Linked DNA regions of Schizosaccharomyces pombe. The gene in region 1 interacts genetically with each later gene. Each region holds a gene or a part of one and is shown on either strand. Other genes may lie near its edges.

Region 1 (3,562 bases):
TTATCATGGCGTAGCCGTAAACGTGTTTGGATAAGTAAAGATTTGAAATGTTTGACTGTCTAAATACTTTGACACGACTTTACAAATATAAGTGAGCAAGTACTAACTAACTGTATTTTAGCAAGTCTCTATTTCACTGCTATACATGCAAATTACTTCTGGTGCTTGTCCAGTGAATCTGTAACCAATATTAAGTTATGTGGTCAATTTTAGTTGGTGTTTACTCATCATAACTTTTTCCCTAAATGCAACATAAAATAGTGAAAGCGGAAAGTATTAGACCCCTTTTTCATTGAACTCTTACTGTTACTCGTTGGACATGAAGCGTATGTATTTACTACTTTGCACTTCAAGATGGTCTAATTTGGCGAATGGTGTAAATAATGAAAGCGCAGAATAAATAACTGCTAATGTACAAAATGTTTCCACAATGGTTTGTCATAATCGTTTGACACGAAAGCAAAGAAAATTGCGCTGTGATTAAGTCTACTCAGTTAGCTCAAGAGATCAAAAGAAATAACAGTTTTGTCAGTGTTAGTGGTTTTAATTATGATAACCGTAACAGCTTTGACATTCTTCATAGCAGACGAATAATTGAGACTATTTGATCACAATAACTAAATTAAAGCTCTATTTTGAAGCGAAAGAGAAAAAGAAATATAGACTGCTTACCGTTTATTAAGCCTGAATTGCGCGATCAGTTAACTGAAACATATGGTATATTAAAAAGGAGAAGTCTGTTTGGCGTAAAGTCCAGCGAACGAGAAAAGCTTTAGAAAAGGGGAACGAAATCACTAGATTAGGATTATACCGTGACGCTGCAAGATCATCGTCTACTTATGGGAAGAGCCGATTTGCCAGTTAGCACGTATGGTTTTTCTGACGGATTCTTTGTATATAAAACATGTGAATATGTTTCTTTTGATATAGAAATAGCATCTACGTCTTTTACTTATTGGATATGGTTTGCATGCATTATAGCAACGTAGTCCTTCTTTGCATAATATGATGTGCCTTTACATTTTCTTTTTTTTTTCTTATTTACTGACTATATTTAAGGCAAGTCACTAACTGTTTCGATTCGCAAAATTAATGAGTACTGTTGAATGTCATATTTCACTTTAAGAAGCTTACTGAGTGAACCTGATTTTTGTATTTTCTACTAACGAAAAACTGCATTAACCACACAGTAACTTTATAGCTTTTCAAGACAAAATTACATACACCGATTTTATTTAGGCTGGTCATATATTTTTCAGTATCCGCGATATCTTCAACTAAGCTAATCATTATTGTCGTAAACGTTTTACACACGATCAGACAAAATTAAAAGGTAGCTAGGGTTTTGTCTACAGTGGTACTAATTCAATAACTGAAGTTGTATCCTTTGGACAAATGCCTAAAGTCATCATTTCGCGTTGAATTAAAATTGGTTAAGTTATGCAAAATATATACTAAATCGAATTTATTGAAACAGTCACAAAGATTGAAGACCTACCCTATATAATACTCAAAACTTGGAAATCTTAAGCGATAAATGAAATGAAAGAGTATGGTATGTACGAAACTACTCTAAGTAGATCAGCTCAAAACTTAATGCTTCATACGCCAGTTTGTATGTTTGAACTTTATTCATTTTGAGATTAACAGCCAAGAATTGTTGATTGATCCAACCGCAAATTTTGTTTGACAATACAATGATTTCTCACTAATTTTATACGGCTTTTTAAAGTGCTGGCGATGAGTAGTTTTATTATTAATATTATAATAAGGAGTTTTTGAATTAGGCATAATTTTGTAAAGTTAACAATCATTAATGTAGTATGGGTAGTGGAGTATAGACGTATTTATTCAAACCCTATCTTTGAAAAATTGCTATCAGACGAATACAACGTGGAGAATTTTTATTTTTATAAAACATTTAAGATAATTAATTAAAGTAGAAATTATACTCTGCAAAGATGAGATTCATTTCAAGAGCCTCTGCTTTTGTGATGCAACATATCGATATATCGCATCGTAAAGCAGCGTGGTAATTTTGAAAGGCTGTTGCTTACAGCGTGTCATATTGTATACACTGCAAAGAACGAGTTTGGACCTTTGGCTGTATGTCTAATTTAGTAAGATAAAAATCTTGCAATAATAAAGAAAGGAAAGTAAAACCTTTTAAAGCCTTACCAACGTTAGTCAGTAAACAATAATACCAAATAATGGCTCCCAAAACCAACCTCCAGATCAGTGTAATTTGTGCTTCGAACCAAAATCGAAGTATGGAAGCTCACAACGTCTTAAAGTATGTCATTTTTGAATTTTATGAGGTAGTTTGCTAATCTCCATTGAAGGAATGCTGGATACCAAGTTGATTCGTTCGGAACAGGTTCAGCTGTACGGTTGCCGGGTCCCAGTATTGACAAACCTAACATTTATCAATTTGGGTATCCATATGATGAAATTTATAAAGAGCTCGAGGCCCAGGATTCCCGGCTATACACGGCCAATGGATTGCTTAAAATGCTTGACCGAAATCGCCGTATAAAGCGCGCTCCTTGTCGGTGGCAGGACCAAGATTCCATATACAACATTGTAATAACCTGCGAAGAAAGATGTTATGATGCCATTTGTGAGGATCTGTATCGTCGAGGTGAAACATTGAATCGACCTGTGTACTTAATAAACGTTGACATTAAAGATAACCATGAGGAGGCCAGCGTAGGTGGAAAGGCCATTCTCGATTTAGTCAACAAATTAACCGAGGCACAGGATAAATTGGAAGAGCTGTTCCCTTCTATAATGGCCGACTTTCAATCTAACCATCCTAAACTTCCTGTATTGTATACTATTCATTTTTTTTAATATCATTTATCGTTACACGTCGTTATCGAATTTAATAAAGCATGTCCTTTCTCCTAGTATATCTACAACGTTCTAAGTAATAAACACAGTAAATTGGCAAGGACGCAAAGCTGTCAGTAATATTTTTAGATAGAAGATTTCTCTTCGCACTCGTTTGCCTGTTAATGTGTTTGGCAGTACATTAGGCATTTTAAAGACTTTTTCTTTAAAAATTTAATTCACAGAAAAATTATATCAAATTAATTTAGGGTCCAGCACGTCCTTGCCCATTGTATTAGTACAACTGCCTTAAGTTAATTTACACAGTCTATCTTTTTCAAGTCAGCGTAAAAGAAAGGACATATCATTTAATTCCCTGAAAAAGATAGAAAGCTCATTTTTTCCAACTTCTTTCCTCAAATCCCTAGTCTTAAATTTGCTTTCAAACTATGCAAAGTATTATTATTCGTCAATATCGGTTTTTAGCTCGTTACTTAGAGCCTGAATTTGTTAAAGGTATGTTAAAAATTGGTTTAAAATTAAGCTGTACAATTGCTTTGACCCACGGAAACAATGTAATCACCTCTAACGCTATTTTATAGACCCAGCCCTAAGGAACGCCAATGCGAGGCCACGTGAAAAGCTTCAGCGTTTGTCTCATATTCAGTTCAGTGAACTTTTAACAGACGTTGCTGATGAACTACAGCGTAGGATCAACAATGATCCCAAA
Region 2 (3,600 bases), on another chromosome or scaffold:
AAAATTTTGCTGACGCTTAGGCTGATAATTAACATTACGACTTCTATCCATGTTACCGCCTTCACGATTGTACGAACCACGTTGGTATTGCGGTTGTGAGTTATAATTTGGCCGACGAATTCCATACCACGGATCGCTAGGTCCACGAGTCATGAACCGGAACTGTCTCTTACCATTAGCGGTTTGTTCAAACGCATGTGAATTAGCATCTCTCTGTTCTCTTTTCCTTCTTTTGTCGTACTCATGAGAAGCACTGTAGCTCTGTAGTTCAGAAGGGTTTGCTGGATATGGTGGTGTTGTAAAATATTCATGCTCTAAAGCCATTGAAGCAGATAAACGTTCATCCGGATTAAGGGTCAAAATAGCACCGCAAAGAGAAGTCATTTCCTTTCCGAAAGTAAAAAATGCAGTTTCAAGTGTTCTAGGGTGTGAAGGAAAAGAGCGAACGCCTTCGCACCCAGGAAGCTTTTCCCAATTTGGCATAGTAGCTTGAGTTGGTGATCCACAAAGGCGAAAGATTTTATCCAATTGGTCCAAATCACTACTTCCTTGAAGGATTGGCCTTCCTTTATACATTTCGGCCATGATGCATCCCACGCTCCACATATCAATAGCGGTAGTGTAACGACGCTCGCCAAGCAAAAGTTCTGGTGATCTATACCAGCGTGTAACCACACATCCAGTGTATTCTCTACGATTAGGTGGAGGCAAGCCAGGATTTTTGTTTGCATATGACTCCTCCGTTATCACACGTGCGAGACCAAAATCGGCAATTTTTAAAATCCCGTGATTATCAATCAATAAATTAGCAGCTTTAAGATCTCTATGAAGGATAAGCTGATCATGTAAGTATTTGGTTCCAGCAAACAATTGCTTCATATAGCATTTAATTTGCGGCTCCGTGAATTTTACACTTGGATTTTCTAATAAACCTGAAAGGTCATGATCCATATAAGGAGTCACCATATATATAGAACCACGACGTCGATGCTTCTTGTCTGCACGAACAACAGTCATATCAGATAATGGAATAATATTCTCGTGTTTAATCGATTTTAAAATTTTTATTTCGCGAATGGCTGTAATGGGAAACTAAAATGTAATGCTTTAGTATTTATTCATGAATTAATTAAAACAATTAACGCAATCAAGTCGATGCGTCCCAAGTCATTCTGTCAAAATGAACAAGAATCTAAACAAACATCTACTTACACCTTCCTTTTCAGTATGCATGAGTATTCTTTTCAGCGCATATACCTTCCCGTCCTTACGCCGCTGCGATTTGTAAACTTCGCTGGTGAACCAAGTTAGTGATAAAATTCAAAATCAGATATTTGACACATACCCAAATGTTCCTTCTCCTAATTTTTCCATTAAATGATAATCCGTTAAATGGCTGCACCCTACAAAATGAAGTTTGGGTACGACATCTAATTTTCTCCTTGCTGATTTCTCATCTTCGACAGAAACGCTGCTTGAGCGTTTCATTTTTTTAACTTATATTATACAAAAGATCCCAACGATTAGTGAATAAAGTTAATTATACAAATTGTAGTATAAACCCGATCGATGCGCGAAATGTTGCATCTGATGAGGATATAGTGGAAGTGGACCCAACTATCAACTATATGCATTAAATACGGAGGCGAAGTAAAATGCGCTATGTTTCAAAATGAGAAAACAATACTGTAAGTATAGAGAATAAACAATGCTTTTTATAAAGGGAAAAAGTTGCATTAGTTTTAAATATCTTTCAAAGGACTCCCTAATCTCAAATAAATGCGCAAAGTTTACAATTTATGAATCAGGAAAGAGTAGTTATTAAAACTCAGGAATAGTACGTACTAAATTTAGAAAAAGATAGTTGAATAGACTGAAAAAGACATTCAAACTATAAGAGGTATGCAAAGGCCTTAAGCTGACGGGGTGCTCAGGGTGCTCATGTTTTACATGCGGGAACAATGAACGTGCATTAAAATATTATAGACATTAAGCGAATTAATTAGGTCGTTAGTAAAATAAAAAGAATATTTAAAAATGGTTACAATAATTAAGACTTTTAAGATAGAAAGTAAATCCCTTAAGATGGTATGGAAATCGTTTGCGTTGTTTCTAACTCATTATCTAAAACTTCTTGAGAAATTATAGTTTGAGTAACTTCGGTAAATGATTCATCTTCATCTTCCACAATGTAAGCAACGGTATATGCATCTTCACCACAAATTACTATAACTGGACGAGAACTGAATTCTGATGGTTGAAGCCATTGAACCTTCTGAATATTAAAACCTTTTTTTGGAACTCCAACGACCCTGGGTGTATTCCAACTTAAAGCCCAGAAGTATAGGAATGTAGCATTAGACGGAATTTTGGATTCTTTCCTAATTTTTGTTTGAATGACCACCAAATCGGGACGACCTGGATGCCATTCAAAATACACTATATGATGTTTTTGAATAAGAACAGTGTGCAGTTTTTTATTCTGTAAATTCCATAGCCAAAGAACATTAGGATATTTAGAAGTAATTGTAGCAGCATACGTCTCATCACAGTTGAAACGTATTTTTGATGCTGAACAAAAGGAGGGTTCTGGGAAATCGGTTCTGAGTTTATGTACTTTTTGATAAGTCATTTGTTGCTCATAGATTGTTTCCTTCTCTTCCCATATATGCATTTCCAAGTCAGTATTGGTATATTGCAAACAATGGTGAAGTCGAAAAACTATACTAAAAGTTTTTGTTTCAAGTAGATGTAAGGTTGAATCATGGTAACTGCACAAAGTTAGATATTTGCCAAAGGGACTCCACTCAAAATCGGAAAAGCCGACTTCAATTAACCTATTTGGTCGATATTCGTGAAAAAGAAGACCGGTGCGATGATAAATATAAACAACTGCATCTAATACGTTTTCCAAAACAGCTAACCAGTTTCCATCTGGCGACCAATGGATACCCGTCGAATCTATTGTAGGAAGCTTACACTCTTTAAGAAGTATCCATGCCTTTTTGCTGATTTGGTAAAATTGAAGGCAATCCGAACCGTTAAAACGAGATAATATAGTACAGAATTGCATGGATGGATGTAAAGCGTAAACTAAACAGTCAGTAAATTGATATATCAGACAAGAAATACCTTTCGAAACATTGGTTTTTACATGTGGAAGCAAATAACCTTTCTGGGTATTTAAAGACCACACAGTAATCTTCGACTAAAAAATTTGCTATTAGCATCGCAGATATATAAGCAAAAAGTTGTGCAAATTTTATTAGATACAACGTACATCAAAGGACGACCAGAGAAGCAGTTCTCCAGACGGGCTCCAGCTGATACTACTCAAAGGATCCTGGTCGCACTGTATGCTAGCATAATAATCGTGTTGTACAATATCTAATACAAACACTTTATCAACTGAGGCAACACAAATTTGATGGCATTTTTCTGCTCCTAAATTGGGTTTCCATAACAAGTATACAACCTTTTGAATGAATTGAGCGTTTAGAAGGAACACATGGTGAAGCTCGAGGGTTTCAGAATTTCGAATTAAGACATGCCCAGAGCGAGATAAAGACGCAATCCAATTACCACAATGTGAAACACTTG

The links. A genetic interaction does not mean that the proteins touch.
Region 2: of ssu72 (region 1) and cdk9, changing one suppresses a phenotype caused by changing the other (phenotypic suppression), as found in Schizosaccharomyces pombe (one study listed by BioGRID).

Annotation. Positions count from the first base shown.
Region 1 is NC_003424.3:3,175,779-3,179,340, reverse strand, and holds ssu72 (RNA polymerase II CTD phosphatase Ssu72), read left to right. Parts: upstream 1-2,079; 5' UTR 2,080-2,210; coding exon 2,211-2,293; exon of another isoform or gene 2,294-2,342; coding exon 2,343-2,853; 3' UTR 2,854-2,914; downstream 2,915-3,562. Other genes in the region: spa2 (GTPase-activating protein), read left to right, coding at 3,282-3,348, 3,435-3,562. UniProt on the Schizosaccharomyces pombe protein: Processively dephosphorylates Ser-5 of the heptad repeats YSPTSPS in the C-terminal domain of the largest RNA polymerase II subunit (rpb1).
Region 2 is NC_003423.3:1,468,568-1,472,167, reverse strand, and holds the start of cdk9 (P-TEFb-associated cyclin-dependent protein kinase Cdk9), read right to left. Parts: upstream 1,601-3,600; 5' UTR 1,489-1,600; coding exon 1,346-1,488; exon of another isoform or gene 1,295-1,345; coding exon 1,213-1,294; exon of another isoform or gene 1,093-1,212; coding exon 1-1,092. Other genes in the region: wdr8 (WD repeat-containing protein), read right to left, coding at 2,081-3,093, 3,133-3,208, 3,281-3,600. UniProt on the Schizosaccharomyces pombe protein: Component of the positive transcription elongation factor b (P-TEFb) which consists of cdk9 and pch1, and which phosphorylates the C-terminal domain (CTD) of RNA polymerase II and spt5.